2 linked regions of the Pelodiscus sinensis genome follow. The protein of the gene in region 2 interacts with the protein of the main gene of each other region in a biochemical or structural test. Links are inferred from orthologs where the notes say so. Each region holds a gene or a part of one and is shown on either strand. Other genes may lie near its edges. The genes, in order: DOK1 and RASA1.

What was found.
Region 1: the proteins of RASA1 (region 2) and DOK1 form a complex in vitro, tested with the Homo sapiens proteins (2 studies listed by BioGRID, with this or other methods). The link is inferred for Pelodiscus sinensis from reciprocal best matches to the Homo sapiens genes RASA1 and DOK1.

The regions. Positions count from the first base shown.
Region 1 is NW_027465889.1:329,005-345,481, forward strand, and holds the start of DOK1 (docking protein 1), read right to left. Parts: upstream 8,678-16,477; 5' UTR 8,583-8,677; coding exon 8,520-8,582; intron 2,147-8,519; coding exon 1,850-2,146; intron 1-1,849. UniProt on the Homo sapiens protein: DOK proteins are enzymatically inert adaptor or scaffolding proteins. They provide a docking platform for the assembly of multimolecular signaling complexes. DOK1 appears to be a negative regulator of the insulin signaling pathway.
Region 2 is NC_134716.1:76,463,124-76,478,998, forward strand, and holds the start of RASA1 (ras GTPase-activating protein 1), read right to left. Parts: upstream 8,430-15,875; 5' UTR 8,329-8,429; coding exon 7,574-8,328; intron 1-7,573. UniProt on the Homo sapiens protein: Inhibitory regulator of the Ras-cyclic AMP pathway. Stimulates the GTPase of normal but not oncogenic Ras p21; this stimulation may be further increased in the presence of NCK1.

The sequences.
Region 1 (16,477 bases), on a different chromosome or scaffold from region 2:
CAGCGGCCCCAAGGGGGAGAGTCGCTCCAGCAGGAGCAGAAGTGTAGCGCGTTAACGCTCGGCCGGGCTGCTGCAGGAGCCAGGCTCTGGGCCTGTGCTGAACACCTCTGTGGCGGGTTAGGCCGCCTGGCGTCCGGATCAGCATCGCGCTGGGGGCCCAACTCACGGAGCTACAGGCCAGACGGCCCGTCTGACTTCCTGTGTATCACTGGCCATTACGTGTCCCCGGGACCCAGCCTTCGACTGAGCGCCGTCGCGGGACTAAGCCCCCCTCCGGAAGGCCCTGCTCTGGACCCCAGAACGCGCCTCACGCCGAGCGCTGCTCGCCCGGCTGAGCTGAAATCCCTCGCGGGGAGGCATTTTCGCAAGCCCCTGCAATTCTTTCTGTGGCTCTTCTTTTTTAACACTGGGACGCCACAACTGGCCACCATGTTCCTGCACTGGACTCTCTCCTTGCTCCCTGCTTCCGCCTCCAGAGCCCACCAGCCCGTCTGCCCTGGGAACTCACACACGAGGCGCTGCTTCCCGGCCTGCAACCCCCAGCCCAGAGATAAGCGCGACCCCCGCGGGGCAGCCTGAGCCCTGCTGTGCAGTACTAGGGGTGGTGAGCTAACCGGCTGCCTGAGCAGGGCTGTGCCTAGCTTCACGGGGAGCTGTCAGGCAGAGGCCGGCAGCCGGCCGGCTGTGGAGAAGCCACCTCGCACTGTTCAGGGTCAATACCCCACCCCTTAGCTTTCAAGGTTTTATCTCCGCCCTGCCCCACTGGCACAGCTGGGAACCCAGACGAACCCAGAAGGGCTGCAGCAGGGTTTAAAGGGACATGGGTGGGGGACGAGACACAGACAGGGACCCCGTGCTCTCGCTGGAGACCCTGGGCCTGTCTGGGTCACCAGTGCAAGGCGACCAGAGTTTAGGGAAGACAGAGTCACAGACGGCTTTGAAAAGGCTGTTTTCTCTAATGCCCGGTTCCTATGCTGGCTGGTCTCCATGACCCCCGAGGGGAGAGCTGCGAGCGCTGCGCCCAGCCAGACCTGCTCAGTAAGTAGACAGGTCTTGGGCTGAGCAGCCGCAGCAGAGCAGGACACCTGCTGCGTGACAGCGCAAGGCCTGGGGCCTGAGAGGCGCCCTGAAAGACCAGCCTGGGAGCACAGCAGCAGCCGCCAATGCCCGGGCCGCGGTCCAGGCTGCCTGAGGGGGCGGGGGGGTGTTCTTTTGCCAGCCCACAGGGAGGACTCAGGGCTGTGGGAGTCACTTCAGCCTGGGGCAGGTGCCGTGGGAAGGCTGGATGAGCGGCAGGCCGCAGCCTTGGCTCAGCTCCGGTGAAGATTTCTGGCTGGAGGGGAAGCAGCTGGGGCCTGGGGCAGCTCCAGGCCCTGGGGGCCACCTGGCAGAGGGTACGGAGGGGGCATCCAGATGGGCAGCTGGGCCCAAACCTCCATGCAACAGGCGTCTGGCTGGCACTGCCCTGCCATGCAGAGAGGAAGCATCATGCTGCCTGGCACGTGGGGCTCCCCAGGGACCCGCACTCCAGAGGGCTGCAGGCTCCCTCCCCACCAGGAGAGCGGGGGGCGAGGGGACCAGCCCCACCCCGAGGCACTAGGTCTCCTGTAGCCCCACCCACAACAGCCCTGGTGCCACGCTGGCCAGCAGCAGCACAGTCCTGGGGGGAGCTGTGGCGTCCCCGGCATGGCCTACAGTCCTGAGGGGTGAGCAAGGCGGATTGGAGGGGCAGAGCCCTCGCACACAGGGCTGTCCCAGCAGGGGTCACTGGGGCCGTGAGCCCTCGCCAGCCTGGCTGTGCGGACGGGAGGCGGGGGGGAAGGCCCAGCCCCTCGCCCGTGGCACTCACCGAAAAGGCGATTTCACACAACTTGTCCACCCACTCGGCGCTCTGCTCCCTCTCGGCGGCAAACAGGAAGCTGCGGTCGCTGGTCTCCAGGCGGAAGACGGCCGTGCTGTCCTTGGGGCCGGCCTCTGGCACGGGCGCCACGCTGACGCAGTCCGCCAGCCGGATGATCTTCTTGTCCAGCCGCCGGGTGCTGAGCTTCTCGGCCGGGGCGCCGGGGTCCTTGCAGTCATAGAACTCCAGGCGGGCGACCCCATGCTGGCTGGCCGGGTACAGCACAAACCAGTTCTTCTTCCATCTCTGCAAGGGCAGCCCGGCAGGGTCAGCACAGCGGCCTTCACTCCCGGCCAGCCCCAAGGGTCTGTGAGCCCCTGCCCGGGTAGCGCCCCCCTTCCCTTCCGGCACTCGGGCCACGGGGAGAGCCCCGCAGGGTCAGCACAGCGGCCTCCACTCCCGGCCAGCCCCAAGGGTCTGTGAGCCCCTGCCCGGGTAGCGCCCCCCTTCCCTTCCGGCACTCGGGCCACGGGGAGAGCCCCGCAGGGTCAGCACAGCGGCCTCCACTCCCGGCCAGCCCCAAGGGTCTGTGAGCCCCTGCCCAGGTAGCGCCCCCCTTCCCTTCCGGCACTCGGGCCACGGGGAGAGCCCCGCAGGGTCAGCACAGCGGCCTCCACTCCCGGCCAGCCCCAAGGGTCTGTGAGCCCCTGCCCGGGTAGCGCCCCCCTTCCCTTCCGGCACTCGGGCCACGGGGAGAGCCCCGCAGGGTCAGCACAGCGGCCTCCACTCCCGGCCAGCCCCAAGGGTCTGTGAGCCCCTGCCCGGGTAGCGCCCCCCTTCCCTTCCGGCACTCGGGCCACGGGGAGGGCCCCGCACAAGCAGCCCCTGTGGAGCCCGGCAGGGTTCAGTCTCTGCTCCGCCAGAGACAGAGCCGAGTGCTCAGACTCGCTCGGCCCGGCTGCCAGGAGCTGTAGGCCCACGGGCAGCAGCGTTTCCTTGGCCCCACCAGCCGGTCCCCAGCCAGCCACGGACCAGCCGAGCAGGAGCCAGAGGCCTCAGCTCTGGGGAGGCTTTTTCAGAGACAGACCAAGCAAAAGCACAAGAGTCAGACTGGGCTGACAGGGGCAGGTGGGGCACGGGCAATGGGGGGAGGGGCAGATGGGGGCTGGCGGGGCATGGGAGGGGGGCAGGGGCAGGCAGTGACACTGGGGCCCAGGCCTGCACTGCCTGCCCATGGTCAGTGAGGTCCAAGCCAGCTGGTGCAGCATGAACTGGAGCGCAGTCTGGGGAGGCTCAGCTGGGGCTGGGCCTGCAGGATCCAGCTCGCCCTTTGCAGCTCTGCCCACCCCCATGTGCCCAGCCTGCTCAGAGGCGAGGGCCATGCAAGTCATCAGCCCACAGATCTCCCCCCAGGATGCCACACACCCTGGCTCCTTGGACTCGCTCCTTGCCTAGCCCAGCAGGCTCCAGGAGGATCATAGAATCCTAGAACCATAGAGCTGGAAGAGACCTCAGGAGTCATCAAGTCCAGCCCCCTGCGCTAGGCAGGACCAATCCCAACTAAATCAACCCAGCCAGGGCTTTGTCAAGCCGAGACTTAAACACCTCTAGGGATGGAGACTCCACTGCTTCCCTAGGGAACCCATTCCAGTGCTTCACCACCCTCCTAGGGAAAGAGTTTTTCCTAATATCCAACCTGAACCTCTCCCACCACAACTTGAGCCCATTGCTCCTTGTTCTGCCATCTGTCACCACTGAGAACAGCCTCTCTCCATCCTCTTTGGAACCTCCCTTCAGGAAGTTGAAGGCTGCTCTCAAATCCCCCCTCACTCTTCGCTTCTGCAGACTAAACAGACCCAACTCTCTCAGCCTCTCCTCATAGGTCATATGCTCCAGCCCCCTCATCATTTTGGTTGTCCTCCGCTGGACCCTCTCCATTGCGCCCACATCCTTTTTGTAGTGGGGGCGCAGAACTGGACACAATACTCCAGATGTGGCCTCACCAAAGCTGAATAAAGGGGAATAATCACTTCTCTAGATCTGCTGGCAATGCTCCTCCTAATGGACCCTAATATGCCATTAGCCTTCTTGGCTACAAGGACACACTGTTGACTCATATCTAGCTTCTCATCCACTGTAACCCCCAGGCCCTTTTCTACAGAACTACCACTTAACTGGTTGGCCCCCAGCCTGTACCAATGCTTGGGATTCTTCCGTCCCAAGTGCAGGACTCTGCATTTGTCCTTGTTGATGGCAGAGCCGAGGGGCCACCCTGATCTAAGTGACCTCAGAGAAGCCAACCCCGCCCTGGGGCAAGGAGGGATACGTGCCCAGCAGCCTGTGCCCCACAACTCTGGCTGCTCAGAAGCTCCCTTTCCCCCTCCCATGCGGGCAGGGTCTCCGGGTATGTGCAGCTCACTATGCCCCACATGTGCCCTTCCTCCTGCCCCCTCCCCTGCTTCCTCAGCGATCCCTGCTGCTGACTCTCAGGACAGGAAGAGGAAGTGTCTGTGTCCTCACTTGCTTCCTGTATTAATACCAAACTTCCCCAAATCACCAGGCACCAAGCTAGAGGGCTGGGGGAGGGGCAGGGGAGATTAAACCCAGGCAAGCCAGAGCCCCCACCCGCACCATGCAGCTGGTCACAGCTGCAGCTGCCCAGCCTGGGGAGGGAGAAGCGGCTCGGGTGCTGGGCAGGTCCTGCACAGTCCGGGCATGGCGATGGGGAGCCAGTTGCACCCCAGGCTGCTGTGTCTGGCCACCCCACAGGCTCTGGGGCTCATGCGCCTGTTCCTGCTGCCTCAGACAGGCCCTGCCCCAGGAATTGGGGTACTTGAGCCAACAGTCCCTACAGTGGCCCCTGCAACAGGCAGGGGTATCACAGGCAGAACCTGCTATGGGGATTCCCCATTGCTCCAACCTGCCCCCTTTGCTCCCAGGGGGCCTGCGCTTATAGGGCACAAACCAGCAGGGCCTCCTGACCCTTGCTCCCTGCGGCCCAGGGCAAAAGGGGAGAGCTCTGGGTTAGCAGACATGGATCGCGACACGACTATGCAGTGCTGGATCAGAGCAGTGGGCCCCCCACCCTCTTGCCTCTGACCATGGCCGGATGCTTCAGGAGCGAACAGGCAACGGTGGAGTGACCCAGTTCCGGTCAGTGCCCGCTCCTGGCAGGGGGACACCCACCCACGGCACTTTTGTTCCCACCAGTCCCTGGTTGCGAGAGGCCTTCCCCCTCCCCAGGGCCCTCCACGTTCCTTAAAGAGCCGGGGGGGGGGGGGGCTGCCCTGGCTCACGCTCGCTGACTCCCTCAGAGAATCCCGGTGGGCTGGTGAGACCCACCTTGCCGTGCAGTAGCCAGGCTGGCTCTGCACGCTACCTGCGTCCTAATTCCCTGCTTAACCGCAGCTCCACGCCTCGCGCTGGCGCTGGCTGACTCAGAACTCGGCATCTGAGGGCGTGGGCGGCGCCCACGAAAGCTCATGATCCCAGCGATGTTTTGTGAGTCTCTAAAGCGCCACCAGACCACTTGTGTTTTTCTGCAACTGCCCAGAGCGTCCCTGGAGCCCTCGAAAACGGACGTCGCCCATTCAAAGGGGGCTACAAAGCGCAGCTTTAGTCCTGCCCTTTCACACCTGGGCCCTCCAGCACTGTCGGGCGTGTAGCTTCAGGTGCAGGCAACTGGTTCCTGTTTAATGTACTGAGCTGCTCCCAAACCTCACGCTGGGACAGCTCCTCAGACTTGTCCCCAAACGAGAGTGGCTCCAGTTGGAGGATCTCCAGCTCCTCCCTTGAGTGCTCCTCAAGCGCACTGCCCATTCACCAGCCCCAGCGCCCCTTGGCCAGCACGGGCAGCCCTGCCCGGGGCTACGCGACCCAGAGCGCGGGGGCAGAGACAAGGCCTGAGCTGGCATAACTGGCCACGTGTCGGGACAGAGCTACCCCAGCCCGTCTGAGAACTGGCCCAATCTGAGTTACCTGCTTTGGTTCCCTTCGTGCTTCCAGGGGGGCCAGAGCCCACGCAGTTGCTGGCCGTTTGGGGTCAGGCTGTTCTCCCCTGCCCCTCCACTCCGCCTGGGGGATTCCCTGTGACAGCCTCCCCAGTGCCATGGTGCAGTCACACAGAACACTCAGCCCCGCGGCTGCAGGCAGGTACCCCCTGCCTGGCGGCTCAGCTCATCCAACGCGCGCCCCAGAGCCCCCGCACAGCAGACAAGCAGCCTCCCCTCGGGCTGGCAGCCGCGCCAACAGGGTTACAGGAAACAGCAGAGAGGAGGAGCTGCCAGGTCCAACCGCGGCTGCCCCCTGCCATCCAGGCCAGGAGGCGATTTCCTCCTGCCCCTGGTGTGGCCTCTGCAGCTCCGCGAGCCCAGCTCAGTGCCGGGGCGTCTCACACGGGCTCAGCCTGGCACCACTACCAGGGTGGGCAGTCCTCCCGCTGCACCAGAGCCATGGGGACACCCAGGGGGACCATCCCCCAAGCAGACTCAGCTCCAGGGGTCACGGGCTCTTGGCTAAGCCAGCAGGGGAGCAGCGCTGCCCAGTGAGGGATGGGCCAGGGACATGTACTCGCCAGGTAGCCCAGACCCTGCCCTGTGCTGGGCCCTGCCGCTGGCTGATGGGCACTTTCCCCGCTCTCTCCTGGGGGCAGGCAGGGCAGCAGCCCCAGGGCTGGACTCGCAGGGGGCACAGAGGCAGGTGTCTGGGGCCACATGCTGCCATGGGCCAAGGCATTACCAGAGCCACAGCTCCCCCAGTGACCCTGAGAAGAGGGAGCAAAAGCCTCTCTCCTCTCTGGGGCAGCCCTCAATATCCATCCCCAACACCAGCAGGCCCTGCCCTCCCCAAGGGCCTGGCTAGGGCAGGGCAGTGCCAGGTCCCCGCCAGCAGATCCCAGCACAGCTCAGCCCCACAAAGAAGCCGGACCCCCCAGAAGCTGCTCCTGTAGGGCGTGGCATGGACCTCAGGAGGCCTCCGCTCCCCACTGGGAAGGGCAGCAGCTGCCAAGAAGGAGAGCAGGGAGCACATGGGCAGCAGGCAATATACTGCCCAGAGACCCACCCCATGCTCCCGCTGGATGGGAAGGCTGGTCCAGGGCTGGGGGGGAACCAGCAGCCATAATGGAGGACATTGTGCCAGCAGCCGGGGGGTAAACTAGGGGGGTTAGAGCTGGACTCCGGGGCCCCGTTCCGGGCGGGGCGGGGGGGTTGTGCCAGCTGCGGGGGGGGGGGGGGGGCAGCCTAGGGGTTAGAGCCGGACTCCTGGGTCCTGTTCCGGGCGGGGCGGGGGGGTTGTGCCAGCTGCGGGGGGGGGGGGGGGGCAGCCTAGGGGTTAGAGCCGGACTCCTGGGTCCTGTTCCGGGCGGGGCGGGGGGGTTGTGCCAGCTGCGGGGGGGGGGGGCAGCCTAGGGGTTAGAGCCGGACTCCTGGGTCATGTTCCGGGCGGGGCGGGGGGGTTGTGCCAGCTGCGGGGGGGGGGCAGCCTAGGGGTTAGAGCCGGACTCCTGGGTCCTGTTCCCGGGGGGGCGGGGGGTTGTGCCAGCTGCGGGTGGGGCAGCCTAGGGGTTAGAGCCGGACTCCTGGGTCCTGTTCCCGGGGGGTTGTGCCAGCTGCGGGGGGGGGGGGGGGCAGCCTAGGGGATAGAGCCGGACTCCTGGGTCCTGTTCTCAGGGGGGGTTGTGCCAGCTGCGGGGGGGGGGGGGGGGCAGCCTAGGGATTAGAGCCGGACTCCTGGGTCCTGTTCCCGGGGGGGGGGGTTGTGCCAGCTGCGGGGGGGGGGGGGCAGCCTAGGGGTTAGAGCCGGACTCCTGGGTCCTGTTCCCGGGGGGTTGTGCCAGCTGCAGGGGGGGGCAGCCTAGGGGTTAGAGCCGGACTCCTGGGTCCTGTTCCCGGGGGGTTGTGCCAGCTGCAGGGGGGGGCAGCCTAGGGGTTAGAGCCGGACTCCTGGGTCCTGTTCCCGGAGGGGCGGGGGGTTGTGCCAGCTGCGGGGGGGGGGGGGGCAGCCTAGGGGTTAGAGCCGGACTCCTGGGTCCTGTTCCCGGGAGGGCGGGGGGTTGTGCCAGCTGCGGGGTGGGGCAGCCTAGGGGTTAGAGCCGGACTCCTGGGTCCTGTTCCTGGGAGGGCGGGGGGTTGTGCCAGCTGCGGGGTGGGGCAGCCTAGGGGTTAGAGCCGGACTCCTGGGTCCTGTTCCCGGGGGGGGGGGGGGGGTTGTGCCAGCTGCGGGGTGGGGCAGCCTAGGGGTTAGAGCCGGACTCCTGGGTCCTGTTCCCGGGAGGGCGGGGGGTTGTGCCAGCTGCGGGGTGGGGCAGCCTAGGGGTTAGAGCCGGACTCCTGGGTCCTGTTCCCGGGGGGGCGGGGGGGTTATGCCAGCTGCGGGGTGGGGCAGCCTAGGGGTTAGAGCCGGACTCCTGGGTCCTGTTCCCGGAGGGGGGGGTTGTGCCAGCTGCGGGGGGGGGGGGCAGCCTAGGGGTGAGAGCCGGACTCCTGGGTCCTGTTCCCGGAGGGGGGGGTTGTGCCAGCTGCGGGGGGGGGGCAGCCTAGGGGTGAGAGCCGGGCTCCTGATCCCAGGGAGGGGGGCGGACCCCAAAGACGCGGGCTCCGGAGCCAGCTGCAAAGGGGGCGCCCGGGGGCGGAGGGTCGGACCCGCCCCGGCCCCGATCCCGGCCCCCGCGCCCGCCGACCTTGGCCCCGAACTTGTGGCCCTGCTGCACGTAGAGCCGCCCCTCCTTGGCCGCGGGGTCCATCGGGCGGCCCGGCCCGGCACCCTCCGGCCGCCGCTTCCTGCTGCGCTGCCTGGCCTGGGGCGGGGCAGCCCACGGGCCGGGGTGTGACGGCGGGGCGGGGCGGGGCGAACGGAAGGGGGCGGGGCCGGGATGGGGGGGGCGGGGCGGGGGCTGCTCGCTGTCCCGGGCTGCCGGCGGGGCGGCCCATCACCCTGGCATCGGAGCGCTGCGAGCCCGCAGCCAAGCCCAAGCGCCTGCAGGCCCCGCCCCGCTCCGGGCTCAGCAGGGGCTTAAGTTGCGCTCCCGGGGGGCGGGAGCGTCCTTCCGACCCCCGCCCGCTTTGCTCGCCCGCAGAAAGGCCGCTGTGCCCGGGGCGGGCCCTGCTCAGCCTGGCGCTACGGGCTGGTTTTCTCACGACGGGGCGTTTGTCCCATTTGCTCGGCCAGGTGATCAGCTGGCGAGAGAAAACAGGGCACCAGCGCGGCGCCGTGGGGGGCAGGGCCATGGCCGTCTCTGGGGGGCAAAGACACAAGGCTCAGGCAGGGTCTTAGGACCTGGGGTCCCCATGTGGGGGGCAGGCAGGGTCCCAGCGACCCCAGCCTCGTGTGGGGGGCAGGCAGGGTCTTAGGACCTGGGGTCCCCGTGTGGGGGGGCAGGCAGGGTCCCAGCGACCCCAGCCTCGTGTGGGGGGGCAGGCAGGGTCCCAGCGACCCCAGCCTCGTGGGGGGGGGGGGGGCAGGCAGGGTCCCAGCGACCCCAGCCTCGTGGGGGGGGCAGGCAGGGTCCCAGCGACCCCAGCCTCGTGGGGGGGGGGCAAGCAGGGTCCCAGCGACCCCAGCCTCGTGGGGGGGGGCAGGCAGGGTCCCAGCGACCCCAGCCTCGTGGGGGGGGCAGGCAGGGTCTTAGGACCTGGGGTCCCCGTGTGGGGGGGCAGGCAGGGTCCCAGCGACCCCAGCCTCGTGTGGGGGGGCAGGCAGGGTCCCAGCGACCCCAGCCTCGTGGGGGGGGGGGCAGGCAGGGTCCCAGCGACCCCAGCCTCGTGGGGGGGGGCAGGCAGGGTCCCAGCGACCCCAGCCTCGTGGGGGGGGGGCAGGCAGGGTCCCAGCGACCCCAGCCTCGTGGGGGGGGGCAGGCAGGGTCCCAGCGACCCCAGCCTCGTGGGGGGGGGGGCAGGCAGAGTCCCAGCGACCCCAGCCTGGGATGGGGTTGGGAGGATCAGGCCACCATGGTGTCCTGTTTTCCCTTTGGGAGCCATGCTCACACCAGTTAGGGCAGGGAGCTGCCGAGTTTCCACTGTGCTGAAGTCTGGCCTCTGTCTCAGTGAGGTGGGGGTCTGATCTCCCTTGCTGAGGAACCTACCTGCTTAGATGGGCTAGTTCTGTAGAAGAGACCAGTGCTCAGGCCAGTCTGTTTTATTGGCCCAAGGAGAGACAAGTGTTCAAGCTACACAGCGCGGGCTGCAGGGCAGTGGCTCCAAAGCTCACCTCTCTCCCCAAGAGTTTATGAATGGGTTGGCTGGAGCCGGCATCAGAGAGGCTGGGAACCACCCCTGCTTTAACAATCTCGACTCTGAGCCTTTCCTTTTATTAATGACCCTTTAAATTGTAGAAGGCAGGCCCAGCGGGCTCTTTGGGTACGGGCCAAGGTAGAAATTGGCCTGGGACTGGCCGTTTTGGGGCAGGAACTCGGTAGTGCAGACATAGCCGAAGGCTCTCCAGTACCAGTGGTGTTTTAAGTTTTGTCAGTTACAGACCAGCGCGCAGGCCGGGACAAAGAGTGTGCGGGGCCCAAGGCAGCACGCTGAGCCACAGGGCTCCCAGCCAGCTGTGTGCTGGGAGCTGGGCAGCGCGGGGCCCTGAATGCGCTGGCCAAGGTGACCGCCTCACTCATAGACTCATAGACTCATAGACTTTAAGGTCAGAAGGGACCATTACGATCATCTAGTCTGACCCCCTGCACAGTGCAGGCCACAGAATCTCGCCCACCCCTCTTAGAATAATCCTCTCACCTATGTCTCAGATATTGAAGCCTTCAAATACTTTGAAGGCCCCAACATGCAGAGAGTCCTTCAGCTGTGATCTGTGCCCAATGCTACAGAGGAAGGCGAAAAACCTCCAGGGCCTCTGCCAATCTACCCTGGAGGAAAATTCCTTCCCGACCCCAAATATGGCGATCAGCTAAACCCTGAGCATGTGGGCAAGACTCACCAGCCAGACACCCAGAAAGTTCCCTATAATGAATGGTCAATTAGTTACCAAGATCATGTTATTTCATCCAACCATCCCCTTATCATAGAATCATAGAACTGGAAGAGACCTCAGAAGGTCGTCAAGTCCAGCCCTCCGCTCTAGGCAGGACCAATCCCAACTAAATCAACCCGGCCAGGGCTTTGTCAAGTCGAGACTTAAACACCTCTAGGGATGGAGACTCCACTACTTCCCTAGGGAACCCATTCCAGTGCTTCACTACCCTCCTAGTGAAATAGGTTTTCCTAATATCCAATCTGGACCTCTCCCACCACAACTTGAGACCATTGCTCCTTGTTCTGCCATCTGTCACTACTGAGACGCCTGCCTGAGACACTTGTGTGACTTCTTGCTGGCCAGGGTGGCAGACAGAAGTGCTCGGTGTGATGGGTGGGGGGCCTTATAACGGACGACCCCCAATCTTGGGCTCTGAGTAGCCCCAGTTCTGAGCGATTCACGTCAGGTGACTCTCTCAGCATTTGCTCGGGACACCACAGACCAGACAAGTCGGGGCAGAGCAGGCAAAGATGCTCAAGTCTTTAATCGAGCTGCAGCCTGAGCAGATCTGGGGCTGACCACGGCAACACATGTACAATTCGTCATCCAGCCAGCCCCACTGCAGACCAACACCTTCCTGTTCACCCTCTGGGGCCCTCAGCCTCCCTTCACTTCACCCCTCCCAGAACTCTGACCATGACGCTTCCATCTACACACAGTTGTGAGGTTTCACCCTTCCCAGGCCTCCCTTGCCAGCAGCTGTGGGCTTGGGAGCGCGTCACTGTCCGGGGCTTGATCAATGAGGCAAGATTGAAAAACGGTAACGAGTTTCCATTGGCGTCCCACGTTCACACAGCTTTCATTTCGGTCCCAGGCACAGGCTGTGGAAGCGTTTTCTTGCCCCGCCTGCCCGTGTCCCCATCGCCGCCATCCCGCGCCCCTCCTGCCCCTGCCCCTGCCCCTGCCCCTGCCCCCATCCCGCGCCCCTCCTGCCCCTGCCCCTGCCCCCATCGCCCCTATCCCGCGCCCCTCCTGCCCCTGCCCCCATCGCCCCTATCCTGCGCCCCTCCTGCCCCTGCCCCCATCGCCCCCATCCCGCGCCCCTCCTGCCCCTGTCCCCATCGCCCCCATCCCGCGCCCCTCCTGCCCCTGTCCCCATCACCCCCATCCCGCGCCCCTCCTGCCCCTGTCCCCATCACCCCCATCCCGCGCCCCTCCTGCCCCTGCCCCCATCGCCGCCATCCCGCGCCCCTCCTGCCCCTGTCCCCATCACCCCCATCCCGCGCCCCTCCTGCCCCTGTCCCCATCGCCCCCATCCCGCGCCCCTCCTGCCCCTGTCCAAATCGCCGCCATCCCGCGCCCCTCCTGCCCCTGTCCCCATCACCCCCATCCCGCGCCCCTCCTGCCCCTGCCCCCATCGCCCCCATCCCGCGCCCCTCCTGCCCCTGCCCCCATCGCCCCCATCCCGCGCCCCTCCTGCCCCTGACCCCATCGCCCCCATCCCGCGCCCCTCCTGCCCCTGTCCCCATCACCCCCATCCCGCGCCCCTCCTGCCCCTGACCCCATCGCCCCCATCCCGCGCCCCTCCTGCCCCTGACCCCATCGCCCCCATCCCGCGCCCCTCCTGCCCCGACCCCATCGCCCCCATCCCGCGCCCCTCCTGCCCCTGTCCCCATCACCCCCATCCCGCGCCCCTCCTGCCCCTGTCCCCATCGCCCCCATCCCGCGCCCCTCCTGCCCCTGACCCCATCGCCCCCATCCCGCGCCCCTCCTGCCCCTGCCCCCATCGCCCCCATCCCGCGCCCCTCCTGCCCCTGTCCCCATCGCCCCTATCCCGCGCCCCTCCTGCCCCTGCCCCCATCGCCCCTATCCCGCGCCCCTCCTGCCCCTGTCCCCATCGCCCCCATCCCGCGCCCCTCCTGCCCCTGCCCCCATAGCCTCCATTTCGCGCCCCACCTACCCCTGCCCCCATCACCCTCATCCCACGCTCTGCCTACCACTGCCCCCATCCCGTGCCCCTCCTGCCCCTGCCCCCATCACCCCCATACCATGCTCTGCCTACCACTGCCCCCATCCCGCGCCCCACCTGCTCCTGGCCCCATCGCCTCCATTCCGCGCCCCGCCTGCTCCTGCCCCCATCCCACGCCCCGCCTGCTCCTGCCCCCATCATCCCCATCCCATGCTCTGCCTACCACTGCCCCATCCCGCGCCCCGCCTGCTCCTGCCCCCATCGCCCCATCCCGTGCCCATCCTGCCCCTGCACCCATCGCCCCCATTCCATGCTCTGCCTACCACTGCCCCCATCCCGTGCCCCACCTGGTCCTGCCCCCATCGCCTTCATTCTGCTCCCCGCCTGCCCCTGCCTCCATCCCATTCCCTTCCTGCCCCTGCTCCCATCGCCCCATCCCACGCTCTGCCTGCCTCCATCTCATGCCCCACCTGCCCCTGCCCCCATTGCCCCTGTTACATGGGATGCATCAAGGAAGCAACTTCCCAAGAAATACGTTAGTGCACCTTAATGGCCAAGTGCTTCCTCAAAGCCTCCTGCTGTTAATAGCAACCCTCTCCCTGCATCTGGCTGCTCAAATACTGCAGCCATCTCACCCTTAGGGACTCCCAGGCAGTGTGCAATGCACAGCACGAGGCTAGATCCCGGGGGCATTACCCTCAGCAAGGTCTAGCCTGCCTCATTCCACCCCCACCAGCCCCTGCTCGGCTTGTTGCTCCAGTGCTGCTCACCGCTACCCAGCTGCCTGGTAAGGGAGAAGCTGGGCCACCCATGATTCCCGAGGCATTTCCACAGCCCCCTTGTAATCCCGTGCTCTGGAAAGAAAGTCCCTGCTGGCAGCTTTCTGGTGCTCCTGGAGATGCGGGTGCCATGCACTGATGCCTGTGAAACCCCAGGGCGATCCACAAGCACTGCCTGCACCATGGAGAAACCTCCCTTCCTGCAGATGCTGCCTGTGGCAAGGCGGCCTGGTGCTAAAATTGGAATGTGTGCGCCATCTCCCACCCCCTAGTTAGGGAGCCATGGGCATCGCCGCCAGATATAGCCCCACCCCCCAGAACACTTGCTGTAGGGCCAGGCTGCCACCGGCTGCTGAGTATGGGGGCTGGCCTGACCCCAGCTAGTCCCCCAGGCTGCATTGCCCAGGGAAGGGCCCTGGGGCAGGGAGTGGAATGGGGCAAAGCAGGAATGGGAAGGGGGGTTGTCCCGGCACTGCACTGCACCCCTGTAGGGATGGCCCTGATGAGCACAGACCAGGAGTGGGGGGCATGGCCAGGCATGGGCCGTCAGTGAAGGTAGCACTGGGGGAGGCACACCCCCACTCCCGCCCCCAGCCCTGTCTCCTGTCACTCCCCCTCGGCCAGTGGTCGCTCTGCAGGGCCCTGCCTCAGTAACTCACAAAAGCCTTGTGCAAGCCAATAGCAGCCCTCCCTAGGGGCAGGCTGGGCTACTCCTTGTACCCCTTGTCAGCTCGCTCCCCACACCAGGGCTCTCTGATGGTGCCCTCAGGCCAAGCAGAGATACCCCTCCCCCCCAGCTCCCCTCAATGGAGGCCTGGCCTCCTGAGGTCTAGCGGGTCCCATGTAGCCCAGTAGCAATCAGCCCAGTCCCCAGGGAGTGCTGAACTGCAATATGCTGTGCAGCCACGAGGTGGCGCTGCATGTCGGAGTTTATCAGCGCGCCCCTCCCCTCCCCTCTCCTCCCCCGCCCACCTGGCAGGGGATGCAGGGTCCCAGGATGGACCCACCGAGGATGCAGCATCGCCGGGACCAGCCCCTGGCTGCTGCAGGAACATGGCCTGGACTGTCAGGACGGATGCTTGGGCTCTCTCATGCTAAGGCAGCGTCTCCTTGCTCCCTCCCTCTTGCAGCCGGGAGGCGGGTGCTAGTGCAGCACCCAGGGGACGGAGACTGTCGAGCAGCTGCGAGCCCTCAGGCACGAAGTGCAGCACCCAGGTTGTGCAGCGTGGCAGACAAGTGGTTCCTGCCTGGGTGTCTGTGGGCTGCTCTTGTAGCTGCAGACCCAGCCCTGAGCCTCCTTCCCACCCCCCCAGAGCCCCAGGTAGCAGCCAAAGTGCCAGACACCCACCCATTGTGGGGCACGGGGTCAGCCCTGGCTGTAGGGGCGGTGCCCGCCCTGCTGTGTGCAGCACAGCGCCCCCTAGCGCCGTATGGGAGCACGGCGCCCGCCCTGCTGTGTGCAGCACAGCGCCCCCTAGCGCCGCACGGGGGCACTGGGCCAGCCCTGCTGTGTGCAGCACAGCGCCCCCTAGCGCCGCACGGGGGCACGGCGCCCGCCCTGCTGTGTGCAGCACAGCGCCCCCTAGCGCCGTATGGGAGCACTGGGCCAGCCCTGCTGTGTGCAGCACAGCGCCCCCTAGCGCCGCACGGGGGCACTGGGCCAGCCCTGCTGTGTGCAGCACAGCGCCCCCTAGCGCCGCACGGGGGCACTGGGCCAGCCCTGCTGTGTGCAGCACAGCGCCCCCTAGCGCCGCACGGGGGCACTGGGCCAGCCCTGCTGTGTGCAGCACAGCGCCCCCTAGCACCGCACGGGGGCACGGCGCCCGCCCTGCTGTGTGCAGCACAGTGCCCCCTAGCGCCGCACGGGAGCACTGGGCAAGCCCTGCTGTGTGCAGCACAGCGCCCCCTAGCGCCGCACGGGGGCACTGGGCCAGCCCTGCTGTGTGCAGCACAACGCCCCCTAGCACCGCACGGGGGCACGGCGCCCGCCCTGCTGTGTGCAGCACAGCGCCCCCTAGCGCCGCACGGGGGCACTGGGCCAGCCCTGCTGTGTGCAGCACAGCGCCCCCTAGCGCCGCACGGGGGCACTGGGCCAGCCCTGCTGTGTGCAGCACAGCGCCCCCTAGCGCCGCACGGGGCCATTGGGCCAGCCCTGCTCTGTGCAGCACAGCGCCCCCTAGCGCCGCACGGGGGCACTGGGCCAGCCCTGCTGTGTGCAGCACAGCGCCCCCTAGCACCGCACGGGGCCATTGGGCCAGCCCTGCTGTGTGCAGCACAGCGCCCCCTAGCGCCGCACGGGGGCACTGGGCCAGCCCTGCTGTGTGCAGCACAGCGCCCCCTAGCGCCGCACGGGGGCACTGGGCCAGCCCTGCTCTGTGCAGCACAGCGCCCCCTAGCGCCGTACGGGGGCACGGCGCCCGCCGTGCGCTCACACACGCGCACAGCGCCGGTAGTGCCCTGCACACACACGCGCTGTGATCAGAGACAGAGCGCAGCCATATGAGCAAAGCCTGGAGGCTCCGAGTGGGTTTAATTTGGAAGGGAGGAGATGAGGGGACCTGGCGGAGGACTGCGCACAGGACTGGATAAGAGGCCGAGGTTCGCCAGTGAGAACGGCGGGAGAGTGGAGCGGTTCCGTGGGAGGCTGTGCTCGAGGAGGCAGGAGCTATCTGTCCTGGATGGGTCAGACAGCAAACCCTGCAGCGTGGCCAGAGCTAACCTAGCTGACTCTGTTGGCCCCGGCCGGCCAGCGGCTCTGTGAGGAAGACCAAGGAAAGCCTAGGGCCATAGCAGAAAGTGCAGCCAGTTAAATTCCTTTGTTGGCTTCCATTTTCACTCCGCAGGCTAGCAGGGATCAGACAATTCACACAGTGAGCATCAGAGTAAATGGGGCTGGGGCGAAACTAGGGAAAGACTAAAATCAAT
Region 2 (15,875 bases):
TATCGTATGTTGCCAATACCAGTATTACACTAATAGAGTTTGGAGCACAGAAAGGAAATTAGATTGTTTTGAGCCCCATATTCTTCATAGAAATATTGTTATACAAATATGGCATAACTAAGATATGTTTTATGCAAGATGGGTCATGTGAGTTACCACTGGAAAGATGATTTACTGAATGTGATCATCCAATGTGTACGCATGTATAATTTATTTCTAAAGTTAGAAATATAGCCTATGTAACAATTACAACTGGGTCTGTATTTGGGAGACCTCTCCTCCCACCAGACAACAGGCCATCAGACTTGTTTCTTCCTAATGGACCATCAAGACTCTGAAAATACTTACCTCTTCTTCCTGAGAGATGTCTGTGACATTACTAGGTTAGGTTGCCCTGTCACCTGATACTATAGATTACCTTGAATTTTTAGTAATTTTCTACTTAAAGTAGAGCAAAGCCAACTTTGGAAAACAAAAATTCCTGCATTATGAAAATCTCCCATTTAAGGGTATGAAGGAAGGAAAACAAGTCTACCCATTACCTGTATGGACAAGAATGAAGATTGGAGTGAAGACAAGAGGGGAGCCCAGACAGAGACAGGGTCCAGTTTGAAAAGAGATATAACTGGAATTCTAAGCTACAGAAATTTGGGATGTTAAGAAGCATGTAATACATTTGTCAACTACATGACTGATAAGGATTAACATTGCAAACACTCAGTCCCTTCTCAAGCCAGGTCTGGCAACTACCATTGCTGTGGCTCTGCATTAGAAACACTTTAAGAGCAAGGTATCAGTGTCTCTGTCTTTCTACAGCTGGGTGTGGCATTGCCTGTGCGCGTACTAGAGAGGGTAAGAAAGAGTCTGGCTCAGCAAGAAAAGGAAAATGGTGCCCAGCCTAGCAGAACAGGCGGGATCAGTGGTATCCCAGTACATACGATGGCATCTTCAAAAGGGACAACCTATCACATACCTCAACCTAACTAATCTGGACATGGTTATTTAAATTTTACTAATCACTTCTCTTGCCATAGAAAAGAAGTTTCCCTGAATGGTATCAAATCTTGTCTCAAGGATACTATAAATGAATTGCTCCTACAAAAGGGCAATGCAAAACCCAGGAAATGAGCCACAGACATAGAAAACTTGAGTTTTTCTAATATGTTTTAAAAACAAGTCAGGACCCTAAAAGAACAAATTTAAGATCATTGTCCGGATTTTTGAGGACAAAAACAACTTGTTAGCCAAGAATTCCTGGACTCAGGGCCAATACAATAGAACAAAAAGAAACTTTCTCCCATTGATTCAGCTATTAATAGAGTCAATTAATAGCTAAATCAATAAAAGTACAGTTTTCTAGCCAGATTATCTAACTGCACAATTCCTTATTCTAAAAAAATACCAAGCTGAAGCTTTTAGGATGCTCTCAAGGCATGATCACACAAAGAAGTTGTATTACTTTAACTATATAGTTAAAGTTGCACAATCTGTCCCAGTTTGGATGCAGTTATACAGCTGTAATGGTGCTTTGTACCAATATTGCTATCCCATACATAATAGGTTATTCCTCTTCCTATAAGCATAGCTAAACTAAAGAGTTTACAACATCACAGCTACATCTCTAATATAGCCACTCTAAACCAAGTGCGAAAATCTATTAACTCTCCTGAGCAACATAACTGTAGTGCAGACGAGTCACCTTTATATATAAAACTGCACCCACACCAGGGGAGTGAACGAATATAACTTTTTCAATTTAAAAGGAGATACAGTAGAACTTCAGAGTTAAAAACATATCAGGATTGGAAGTTATTCATAACTCAAACATTCTTAACTCTGAGCAAAACACTACAGTTGTTCTTTCAAAAGCTTACAATCAAACACTGACTTAATACAGGTTTGAAACTTTACTATGCAGAAGAAAAATGATGCTTTGACCACCTTAATTTAAAAACAAAACATGCAGAGAAACAGATTCCTCGACTTTTCCCTTTTGTTTTTTAAACATTTAACAGAGCTGCAGTGCATTTTTTGGGGGAGCTGTCTGCTGCTGGCTGACCGCATATTTCTGGTTCCAAATGAGGTGTGTGACTGACCAGTCAGTTCCTAACTCTGGTATTTATAACTCTGAAGTTCTACTGTAGTTTACAAAAGTACCCCAGACTGCATGTTGAGTTAAGGAATCAACGGCCCACAGGCCTCATCTTTCATCCAGTCCATGGCAAGTATCCATGCTGTAGGCTGGAAACCCTGAGCCTTGGTGATATGCCCTGGGGGGGAACAGAGCCAAAAGCCTCAGCTCACACTGGTGCATGGGGAAGCTAGGATTGCCAAGCAGGTAACAACCCAGACAGCTCAGCCCTCTTACCAGAAGTGGCTGGCATATTCCTACAGCCCCTACATGCAGAGGCAATCAGGGAAACTATGTGTGTGCTGTTTCTGAAGCACTCATTGGCTGGGAACCACAGCCAATGGGAGCTGCCCAGGTGGTACCTGTGGGGTGAGCAAAGTGCATCGCACAGAGCCACATGGTCGTGCCTTTGCCTAGGGGCCAGATTTGCCCTCTGCTTCCAGGATCCATGCAGAGCCAAGGCAGGGAGGGAACTTTCTGTGGCTGTGCTGCCAATTGGACCCAGAGCCCGCTGCACCAGGTTGGAAATTCCTCTCCCACCCCACCTCCTTTCCACAGCCCACACCTCCCTCACCCAGCCCTGGGCCTGCTCCTGCACCCCAAACCCTTTGGCTCCTACCTGGAGCTCCCTCCTACACCCAAACCCCTCCTTCCCAGTCTCACCCCAGAGTCTGTGATTGCCAGCTCACCCCACTGTGGGGGAAAGCCCCAAGCTTTTGCAACCCCTTGTAGGGCCTATGCTTTATTTTTTTTTTATGGGTCAATTGTCTCTGATAGAAAAAAGATTCCTGGCCCCTACTGTATGTACACCAGGCCTCAAAAGCTGCTGAAACTAACAAGCTGCCAAAAGTAAGATAAGAGAAACAACTCTAAGCCCTCTTTGGAAACTGATTAAAGCAATCTGACTTCTTAGCCATTGATGGACTTGTGGCTGGATACATCCAGAACTCTCTAGCAACAGCCTTCTACAGTGTAACCATATTCTAGGGAGGAAACTACACTACAAAAGTTTAAGAAACGTCCTAAATTGGAAGCAACAATTTAAATTATTCTTTGTGTAGACAAGTGATGTGCAACCTGTGGCCCACTGGGATTATATGGCCTGCGAGACATTTTGCTTACCATTGCTCACAAGCAGAGTTGCCAGCCTCTGCTGGTTTCCGTCTGCGTAGTTTTTCCCCCTACTGCTATTACTAAAGTGGCACACACGTAAAGAAAGTGCACATGAAGTGTGCTGATTGCACGCAACATTGACAGAGAGCTACTTGTTTGGATGCAGAGAGAGAGAAGTGCTGTCACAGTTCTATCAGCACACTCTGCAAATCCTAGGTTCTCAAGTACAGTTAGCAAAACTACCCTATCCAGGGAATCCATCTTCATTACAACAATCTTGTGGCCCACCGAGGTGAAAGCCCACTTGCTGGTCTAGATTGCTTATCACTGGTGTAGAGTTAGTTGTCTAAAATACATACTAAATACAATGGAAGAGATTACAATTTATATAGAAAATACAAGATAATATAAAAATCGAGACAAGTGCTCATGCTTTGGAGCATAAATCGATGTATTAATTAACAGGCCTAAGAAAGAATACCTGGTGAAAAACAGAGTCCTTTTCTCCCCAAGAGCCTGGGAGCGGGTGAGAAAAAGAGAAAATGCATGATACGCTGGGCTTCTCATCTACATGGCTAACGGAATTCATTCTCCAGCAATTGTATTCAGCTCTTGCTTATGCATTATATAGGGATAATCTTCAAAAATAACATTTAAAAAATACAGAACATATAATCTAATTATCTATTTATTTTTAGATCAATAATTGCATTCTTCTGCTGTTAAATAAATTTGCAGGTTTTTGGTTAAAGAACAATCATTTATCTGTTTACCACATCATTTTGCTAAAGAGAAGGAAGATAAACTTTACACACTAAAAAGAGATAAATTGCATTTATTCTATCTATTTCTATTGCTATGCAGAAAAAAAACCCCATATATGCCATTAAGACTATTTCCTGGAACTTGCATTGAATACTCCTGCATACATAAATATAATTACCAAAAAGGTGATTTTATGCCCTAATTTTTTTAGATGTATGGACACCAGTCATTCTTCTCCTGTAGAACTGCAGGTGTGTGCTCACTAGCTTTCTCTCTCTCTCCTTTCTAACCCTTGTTGCTGAGACAGACATAAGTGTTGGTAGATGTTACTTATCATTACACTTATTTGAAGAAACTTATACTTCACACTAAAATCAGATATAATAATGTTTCACTTCCACTTACATTTTTGTTTAATATTCCCCCACCTACTACAGTCTCTGGCTTTAGCTATTTTCTTCACTGTCTTTCGTCATTTAATATTCTGTCTCAACAGGTAACAAAAATGGTAGCAAAGCTTTATCAATTTGGGATATGTTTTGAACACATTACAGTACAACAAGCAATTTTACTTTATAAAGCTTCTGGCGCTCTGTTCAAATTCAACACAAGCATCTTATGAAAATCATCATTCATAGAAAGTAAAAATATCTTTGGCAAATACTGGAACTTCTGCTGCTGCCACTACCACCTTTAAAACAGTATTAAACTTAGAAGAATTTTGTCAGCTTAATAACTGCTATACCAGTACAAAACTGACCAAATATTTGTAAACTCAATTGTACTGCTACAGAAAGCTTCTTTACATGTTGGAGAAGGACGCCAGGAGGAGGTGGTGGCAGCAGCACCAGGGAAGTAGCCAGTTCTGCAGCAAAACGGTGAAAAACAACACTCACACTTGCTTTCTGAGAGTTTATCATACCATGAAATTGACCAAATTCTTGGGATTTAACTCATGCTACATCGACACCATTTACAGCAGCGCCAATTCCACTGTGCCACTATCACACTTGTGATGAAGATGTAAGTAGGAGCTGGTGCTTGCAGGGAGCCAGCTTTTAAGCCAGCTCTCCATAAGCACCTGCCTCTCACCTTCCTTCCCCTCCCCCCTGGGAAGGGGAGGCTTGAATGTAATGGTGAAGGTTTGCGTGTAATCACCCAGGCTCATTGGTTAACCATTTAAGTGCTTAAACTATCACAGCCCTAATTCAAACCCCTAACACAACCATTCCAAAAACAGTATGTTTTTACAGTAAAAAAGGCAATTTTGTCTAGCAGACAGGACACCAAACGGGATGTCAGAAATCTAGATTCCCTACCAGTGATTTACTGTGTGACCTTCGATAATTCACTCATCTTTCTGTGCCTCTATTTACCATCTCACCCTTTGTCTGCTCAATTTAGTTTTTTTTTAAATCGTTTTGTGACCAGGACTGTCTCACTATGTGCTTTTACAGTTCCTAGAACAATGAGATCCTGATGTTTAGGAACTGTTACAATAAAGTCATTAAATAGATACATACATATTTACATCCATCCATCACTGAAAAGACTGATAAAATTAAATTGTGTGAAAAATATGGTTTATATTAAACTCTACACCCTCCTTCTTATATAATAGTTATGCCTGTGTACTTATGCAAAAATCATCCTGAATCCTGGAAAAAGAAAGACACTAGAACTCATGAGGTTTAACTAGTAATAGCTCAGATATTAAAAGATGTCAAAAAAAAAACTGTCAAGACAACATTAGAACATTCTTGGATAAACATTACTAGCAACAATCTGTAATGTAAATTCATAGCTATTTTTACGCCTTATAGCCCTAATTTATCTGAAATATAAAACTTCATTTTAACTTAGTTAATGCTTGATTTCTAAATACCAACTTAAAACACAATTTTGTTTCTGGGACAATAATCAGACACACTTGAGTGCAATTTTCTTTCCTACCATAAACCTTGAAACTGTATTATGTAAACCCTTACACACCTTACTAGTGTTATTAGTGCATCTCAACTTCTCGTATCTATATTTATCAGTAATTGTACACACAAATGCTGCACAGCATCAGCTCTATAATATATATAAAATACAACAATTGTCCTGCATAACAGCTTTAAGTTTTCCTGTAATACTATCAACAAGGGAATGCTTATTAAGTTAATGGAAAGACAATCATAAAGAAACCTTACTGTAAAACACCTACCAATGCTTTGACTCAATTCCCATTAATTTTCACACAATCCAACTGAACACAAACACCTTTAAAATCAGCTGTACACCATGCTATTAAATTCATTGTTTATGGAAATTAAATAGCATTAAAATTATTGGGTAAGACATTTTATCAATTTTTTTAAAGTACAATCTATAAAATGTTATTCCACGCAGTACGCATATGAAAGCTTTAAGTTTCAGAAAGTCTAAAGACGGCTTAATTTTCCTACCAAGAATCATAAAAATCATATCTATATTTGACAATAGCTACTTACTATTATGTTTTGGAAGAGTATGAAAATGGATAACGATGTCAAAAATTGATAAAGTTTCCAAAGGGAAAATTTAATAATCTGAGCTTTCCACTCCTTTTGTGACACTATTTACCATGTGAAAATCCACAGTAGTAAGTACTGAAAACCCAAAAAACTAAATTAGATAGGTAGTGTTTAAGTCTGACTGTTTTCTCTAAATCCCTGAAGGATTTCTTTGTTCATTTTAAACATGGGACTATAAAAATAAAAGATTTTATGTTTTTATGGTTCTGTGGTACTTGGAGGAAATGGAAACTGCAAGGCACACAAGGGACCCTCGAAGAGTACACATACATACACCGATCAGTAATATATGACTCAGCAGTAGGTGACAGACAAGACACACACTAGCATCCAGTATTCCCTGTAAACCGAGCTCTTGGGGGGCAACACAGGAAAGATTCATGTGCCACCCAACTGATTAGCAGAGTACTCACAGCTGGCAGCATGTTTTTCTACTGGTGATGCACAACTGCACATAAAGTTTATTCTGCACACAGATGGAACACATTAGAGGGAATACTGCAGGCATTTAATGCTGCTTGGAGCCCAGTAGCGTTTCAAATTTTCCAGTGCCCTGGTTGTCTCTAAGCCTCGGATTGTCAAATACTGGGACTGGACAGAGGGGATGGATTGCTACAACTGTCCTATTCTCTTCATTCCCTCTTGAAGCATCTGACACTGGACCCGATATGGCCATTCTTATGTGCGTTAGTCCATGCAAGTCAAGCGCACGCTGTTGCAATTGGTGGCTCTGCTGTCCAGTCTGAGGATCCACCCCAGACGGAAACACAGACCAAGGAGCCCTCAGTGCCAATACTTCAGCACTTTCCATGCAAGCAACTGAGTCTATTTAAATGGGATCTCGGGGGCGGGGGCAAACCTTTCAGGGCCTGGCCGGAGTTTGACACACACTTTCCACCGGGCAAAGGGGAGGGACGGGAGCTAGAGTCGCCACCGAGCCGGCTGCCGCCCCCCACGGAGGGGCAGCAAAGCAGGGCGGCCGGGAGCAGAGGGGGCTGCTACTCACTGGTTAGTCGGGGGCGCGTTGAGCGGGATGGCCACCTCCTCCTCTTCGTACTCCGGCCCGTCCAGCGAGTCGCCTTCATCCACGGTGCCCAGCCCCCCGACCAGCGGCAGCGGCGGGGGCGGCAGCGGCGGGAAGCCCCCAGCGGGCGGCCCGCCTGTTGAGCCGGGTTCCTGCGGGGCAAGCGCCCCCCGAGGCATCTCCTGCCCCTGCCCGGCGGCCACTGCGGCGCCTCCGCCCGCCGGAGGGGCAGGCCCCAGGACCAGGAGTCCCAGCGCCGGGCACAAAGGGGGGCCGCTGCCGCCCGGGCTGCCCCCGCCGGAGCCCTGCGGCCCCTTGCCCCGGCACAGGGCAGGGCAGTGCCCCGGCTCCCCGGCGGCGCTCGCCGAGCCGCCCTCCTCGCCTCCGGCCTCGGCCGCCATCATGGTGAGCCTCGCCCCCTCCGCACGCCGGGGAGGAGGCGACCGAGGGGCCGAGACCCCCCGCCCCGCCCCAGCGGGGAGCGGAGCCGGGACCGGGACGAGCGAACTTCCCCGGCGGCGGCCGCGAACAATACCCGGCTGGGCGGGGGCTGGATTCAGGGCAGCGCGGCAGGGCCCCGGAGCGGCTGCCTCATCGCCCTGCGGCCGGGAGGGGAGCGGCTCCCGCGGAGACTCACCCCGCCCGCCCGCAGCGAGCGCAGCTTCGGCACGGGCAGGGGCCAGGCTGGGCTGGGGGAGGCAGGGGAACTGGCGAGCGGCTCCCGCCACAGTGCGCATGCGCCCGGGGACCGCCCGCCGCGAGGAGGGGGTTGGCTGAGCCCGCGCGCGCTCCCGCGGTTCCTGCCGCCGGCTCTGACTCAGGGAGCGGCCGGGCTCAGAGCTGGGTTCACCTGGAGCTTTGCAAGGGCCGCGCGTGGGTGGGAAAGGAAGAGCTGAAGCTACCAAGAATATGAGCACAGGGGCGGGTTGCAGTGTCAAAGAAGAGAGCAAGCCCAGCGCACCGCCCACACCCTGACTGTTCCCAACCCACCAATTTACAGTGCCTAAATAAAGAACGTTTGGCGCCAGGCCGATTGCATCTCACACCGGTACTGCGATCTTTCCCCCCAACCCCCTCGCCATAGCACTTCAGAACAACTGGCTGGGGTCCTGTTGGATTCACTTGCCAGATGTATGTTTTTGCAGCGCCTTTGCACTAGCATACCCTGCGATCCCGATTAGTCTCTTGAACTAAGAAAAGCTGCAGATGCATCAAGCAAAACTGGGGGCATTCAAACCATAAACAGATGTAGCCCAAATCCTGAAATCCAGGGAGAGGTTTTTTTGTACTGCTTTTTTTGTTCTAGGACGTGGGGTACAGATTTTGTTAGATTGTGTTGTTTGATCTATTTTATTTGTGAACTAGTAGAATCAACACACTTGTCTTGTTTTGATGGTATTCTGAGTTTGTGGGTTAAATTTAACTGAACCTGATAGGAATCAGGAATCTTTTTTTCTAATGCTTTTAAAGCAGGGGAGGAGCACTGCACTTTCCATTTCTATGCTGTTATGTCCACACTTGTGCCTCTGACCCACACTCAGTACTTACCAGAAGTACTTACAAGTGACCTGGCTTGGTGATGCAGAACCTATTATCCAGAGAAAATAACTTACATTTCTTACAGATACTGACTCATATGGCTTATAGACTTTAAGGTCAGAAGGGACCATTATGATAATCTAGTCTGACCCCCTGCACAGTGCAGGCCACAGAATCTCACCCACCCCTCTTAGAATAATCCTCTCACCTATGTCTCAAATATTGAAGCCTTCAAATACTTTGAAGGCCCCAATATGCAGAGAATCCTCCAGCTGTGATCTGTGCCCCATGCTACAGAGGAAGGCGAAAAACCTCCAGGGTCTCTGCCAATCTACCCTGGAGGAAAATTCCTTCCCGACCCCAAATATGGCGATCAGCTAAACCCTGAGCATGTGGGCAAGACTCACCAGCCAGACACCCAGAAAGTTCTCTATAGTAACTTATCATAGTGTCATATTACAATCCTTCCCCTTGGGGGCCTGAGCTCAGGACAGGGGATGGTGGTGGTACCACACCACCTGTAGGAAATGTAAGTGTGGGATGGAGTGCAGGAGGCTCAGGTCAGAGGGTTGACATGTGGGAGGTGCAGGAGTCATAGTTGGGGTGAATGAGGGGCTCAGGGCACAAGATTAGGGAATGGAAGTGCAGAAATCAGGGCAGAAAGCTGGCAGGGAGGGAGGTTCGGTGCAGGGGCTGGGATGTGTGTGTGTGTAGGCTCAGTGATGAGGCAGTCCCCACTGGTGACTGTGCACTATGCTGCTCCTGTTCCCAGCCAAATTGGAGCAGTGTTGGGCATCGGAAGGAGATAAGGCTGAGTAGAGTGCTGAAGCTCCCCTGGGATCCTGGCCCAGCACCTGGAGTCCAGGCCACTTGGTGTGTCTCCCCCTACCACTGGTCCTGTCACCCTCACCAGGGGATTTCCAGGCCGCTGGCCCTGCACCCCTCTCACTAGGGGCACTCTAGCCACCGGCCCTGCTGCCAAGCAGCTCTCTGATCTCTGCTGTCCCCCTCCTGGGGGCTCTTCTGGCTTCTAGCCCCAGGGTCCCTGCTGCCAGCTTCAACTTTGGGTGTGGGGGGGAGGGGAGAAAAGGATTAAGGCCCAACCCTCCGCTCAACACTTTCTTACTGGCACGCTGCACTAGAGCACATCTGCTTACTTTCACCTCTGCCTACTATATGTGTACATAGGTTTGGTGGATGGGGATCCAAAGTCATATACCTAAGCTAATGCAGTGCTTGTTGTGCACCAATATGAGAAGAGGGAGTGAGGTTCGAACTCACAAGCCAGCCTCACTTAACATTGGAAATGATCTTTTTTTTTTAATGAAATGTAATTTGTTTTGTAAACCTATCCATATGTGAAAGTATATCTCTTGCTGCTAAAGATTTACCTCTTGTTATTGAAAGCCCTCCAGCGGTAGGTAAGTGATAGCGGAAGCAGGTATAGGATACAACTGGAACCATCTAGCCACAAACATGCACATAGATGGCCTCGATGTGATGATCATCTGTCTGCTGAAAAGGAACAGCAGCAGCTCCCATACCCTGCCTAGGTGACAAAGCAACCCTATTTAGGGACAGAGCTGCTTTCTTCAAAAGAAGAGGGGGAGAGAAAACAATTCCTAACCACAGCTTGTTCCAGTGGATTCCTGTCGGTTAGCCAGGACCGAATGATATCCAATTTTGCAATCACAGGAGAAAATCAATGACTAAACAGACACTACACTTTGCCTCATGGAATATATGCATACTTCTTGACAGTGATGATCACCATGAACACAGGACAGCAATCATTGGTAGAGAGCTTGTACATTATAACATCGATGTCACAGCCTTAAGCAAAATACATCTTGTATCAGCCAGTTCACAGAGGTTGAAAAGATTCCTCAGTGAGCTAATGATTCACAGCTGGTTATACCTCCAACTCTTGATGAGGTACAGAAAGCTGTCAAGCAGATGAAATCTGGAAAAGCACCCGGCAGTGATGTGCTCCCATCAGAGATTTATAAAGCTGGTAGAGGCCTGCTGATGCCATCTCACCCATTTATTTATCACTATTTGGCAGAAAGAGCAAGGCCCCCAGGACTTCAAAGATGCCTTGATTGTACAAATATACAAGAGAAAAGGTGACCGTGCCTGCTGTGATATCCTCCAGGGCATCTCACTGCTGTCTATAGATGTTATGATCCTGGCCCGCATCCTCTACAACCATCTGTCATTACATGTGTTCACAAATGGCATTATTCCTGAAAGTCAGTGTGGATATTGTGCCAGTCAAGGCACTGCCAACATGATATTCACAGTCAAGCAGATCTAAGAAGACAGCAACATCATAATCTCTTAGTGATTTTCATTTACCTGACCAAGGCGTTTGACATGGCCAACACAAATGGATTTTGAAAGGTACTTGGGCAAATTGGCTGTCCTGAAAAATTTGTCAGTATAATTTGGTCCTTTTATGATGTTATGCTGGGTCATATCCTTAATAATGGATAGACATCAGCACCTTTTGAAATATAACATGGCACAAAGCAAGGATCTTGCTCCTCTCCTTCCCAGCTCCTCTCCTTCCCAGCATCCTTGCTCCTCTCCTTCCCAGCATCTACTTTTTGATTATGCTATTAGTTGCTTTCAAGGATTGCACGTTGGGCATACCTATGCAGTTCCTAACTGACAGAAGCATGTTCAGCTTTGAAAGACTTCAGGCACCAAAGATACCAAAGTGTTCAATTCAACTATCTGTGACCTTCTTTCTGATGACTGTGGATTGTTGGCTCATCCAGTGGAGAACTCACAGGAGATTTTGATCCTTTTGTTACTTCTGCTCACCATTTTGGACTCACTGTGAGACTCCAAAAGATTGAGATTATGTCTCAGTGTCTCTTCAGAAAGAGCCCAGCCCTCCTACGATCACTGCTGCTGATACTGTCCTTAGGTTGTTGACAAGTTTTGTTAGCCTGGAAGCATACCATTCTCCAGCATTAATGCTGCTGCTGATGTATCTGTTCAACTAGCCAAAACCAGCGCTGCCTTCAGAAGATTGACCAACTGATTATGGAATGGCCATGGTGTTAAAATTCATACAAAGGTAACAGTTTATCAGGCAGTTGTCCTGAACTTCCTGATGTATGGCTCAGAGTCATAGATCATACATAGCTATCACATTTTGAAACTTGATCAATTTCTTATGCGCAGTTTCAGGAAGATTGTCCATGTGAATTGGTGGGACGAAATTCCTAACACAGAGGTCCTTAAGCTGTGTGGTGCCATGGGCTGCATTGCTGAGGTTATGAGGATGGATGATACATACATACCAAAAATAATCTTCTACGGCCAGCTTGTTCACGGAAAGTGCTCTATTGGTGGTCAATATAAGCATTATAAAGGCCAACATGAAGTCATGTGGCATATCTCCCAATGACCTAGAAATCATAGCTCAGGAAGATTGTTCTGGTAGCAAACTATTGTACAGGGTCTCAAACACTTCGAGAATCAATGTATCCAGACATTACAAGAAAAGTGTAGGATCCAAAAAGAGTGTATAATGCCCTCAGATGGTGGATTTTTATGTGACATCTGTAATCGTATTTGCTAATTGAGGATTGGCTTGATCACTCACCAGCAACATCATAGATTGCCCATGTGAATTGGTCGATCAACGTCTCAGTCCATGCATGTGCTCCATTGAGAAATCTACCCTTGCTAATTCACCTATCTTTTTTATGGCATAAAGATATGCAGATGAAATAGCAGTAAAACATAATGTACAGAACCCAGATACAATATATTTGTTTGGCTATTATGACATAAACAGTGCAATGTTTTTAGAGTTGCATGAACTCCTTTTCTTGTTAGTAATAATTTATTCCTATGTACCTTTATGAAAATATATCCTTTTCTATTATTATTATTATTATCTTGACTCAAGCATTTATTCCTGTTCTTAACAACATGGCTATTAGTTGTTTCACTGACTTCTATGAGACTAGTCATCTACACTCAGTTAAGCACATATGTTGAACAGGATCTTTGTGTTTAACAATGCCAGGCAAATAACCTTTTGACTTGCAAAATTAAAATAGCTGACAACTACTAGCACTTTTGTCTCTCTGTTTCTACTTTTTCTCTAGGCTGTTATGTCTTTGTACACTCCCTTGTTTATGTTGGTATATCTCAAATGTTCTCAGAAGGCATTTAAATATTTAGGTTTTCAAAGCTTTGTCGTCCCTAGAAGCATTACATTTCAGAGGGGTAGCTGAGTGAGTCTGTAACAGGAAAAAACTTAAAAACAACAAAAAGTCTAGTAGCACTTTAAAGACTGAAAAAAACATGGAGATGGTATCGTGAGCTTTAAGGTGCTACTAGACTTTCAGAAGTAGTAAGTTAATTTTTCCAGAGGCCACCAAAACAAACATATGTTCATACTCCTACTTCTAGTTTTTTAGAATTTTCATACCTTTCCTTCTGTATGCTCTGAGTTTTACCACTAAAATCAATGGTGTTACTCTGGATTGGCACCAGCATCAATGAAAACAGAATTTGTCCTTAGTTAAAAGGATTATAGCACATTTATACGCTGCTGTTTGTTGTATTTGAAAAAGTGCAGCCTTGATGGCAATATTTTACACATCTGATTTCCAGACATGATTCATTATTAAACATGTAATTCCAGATACTCCTGCAGCTGACTGTCTGTGTGAACTTCTGTTTACTGTTTATTTTTCCTCACAGATTTTCAAATACAATTATTTTAATGCCTTGTTGTTGCCTTTGTAGGAGAGATAAGCACATTAATGCAACAAAAATATATACAGGATTCCCTTCTTTGAGACAACCATTTCTAATACCGTAGAACTATATAAGGCCAGAGTTGCACATACTGGTGTACAGGAGCTGCAATGGCAACTGAGCAGAGGAGAGAGCAGCTACATCCCTCCTTCATGGGTTTTGTGTGGGGAAGACAGCTATGTATTCTGACCAGGGCTTCACAAGAGATGAGATGCTGTCTGTGAGATTTGTTAATACATGCGTCTCAGAGACTGCCAATTCTGCCCTCTCCCAGGCTAAGGATGTAAAATATCGACTCATTGACTAATCGAATACTCGATGCATTTTGCATCGACTGTTCGATTAGTCGATAGAGCTCCCCACGGTGTTCCAAAGCAGTGGCACCTCATGGAGCCCGGGATCAGCTGGGGACTCCACATGGTGCTGCCTCTTTGAAATGCCACAAGAAACTGGATGCCTGGGGACACCCCAGCTGGCCCCGTGCTGCACACAGTGTTTCAAAGCGGCAGCGCCACATAGAGCCTGGGGTCTGGCCCCAGGCTTCAAGCGGTGCTGCCACTTTCAAGTACCCCTTTCTCTTCCCTCCTTGCTGTCTCTTTCTGATAGAGGCAGCAAGATGGGGGGAGGAGGGACCGACTAGTCAACTATGCTGTCGACTATCTGATAAGCATTTGCTTATTTGATAGTCGATTAGTCCTTCGCATCCCTATAGCAGGCCAGACCTAAATGTTTGGTAGGTTGTGCTAATTGTTCCATCTCCTTTGACAAAACAGGGATTGAAGCTGGCTTGCACCACTGTGCTGCTGTTTCAGGTGGATTTTCCACTGCAGGTTGAACCTCTCGTCCTGTACTCTCAGGACCTCACTGATGCTGAACCACAGGATTTGCTGAATCCTGGCTGTTTAATATTGTCTAGCAGCATTACCAACACTTCCACTGCTTACTGGACTTTTAGCAGATAGTTAGGGGTAAATTAGAGCTAAATAACAGCACAGAACATGGAGAGCCAGGCCTGGTGGCTGTAAACAAACTTTATGGGACTGCAGGAAACTTGGCCAAACCCATATTAAGTAGATATGCAGCTAATTATAGACCAGAGAATGCCGGACTAGAGAGGTTCAACCTATACTTTTATCTTGATTCCATTACATAAATTTTCACAGGGACAAGGACAGGAATCATCTATATTAAATATATCTGGACCAAAAAAGAAGTGGTGCTTGTTGCCAGCCTGATGTTTACAAAAAAATGCTTTTTTACTTAATAATCTGGACAAAATTATATTAGGACTATTCAGCCCCCTCTCCTTGTATTGTCATGGATGATGAACATTAGATTAATTGATGAGTGAGACCAGCTATGGGGTCAGTTTCTTGTAGCTTTTGCATTATTTTTCAACAGTGTGGGGGAGGAGGAGGAAATGCTGTAGACTAAATATATAGGCGTTTTTGTCCAGGAATGTCTAGTGCATTCAGTGTATTCTAAACTTGGTCATACTGTAATTTCACAACACAGCAGAAATTAGATAAAGTATAAATTTGCTATCATTCCAGTTTCAATATGTTTTACCTATGTCTACTCATTTCCAACATGTTTTAGTTGTATTTGGTCAATCTTTGGGGCAGAGCAAAACATTTTCATACTGAACATGATGAATGTTTTATATTTGCCATATAAAATATATTTAGCAAAGTAATGAATGCTCCCATTACTGGCCTCCATTATGAATCTTTTTAATTACTACTTCAGGTAACAAAATTGTGATTATGCAAAATTAATGAAACAGCTTTATATTATTGTATATATAATACCAATAGTATGTTAAGCTCTTTACAGACAGAAAGAAAATAGTGTCCCTACTGCACAGAGTTTCCAGTCTAAAGGTACGTCTTGTAGAATGAAATCCACAGATAAATTTCAGTGTCTTTAGGGAACTCCATTGAATTAAATTGTCCAG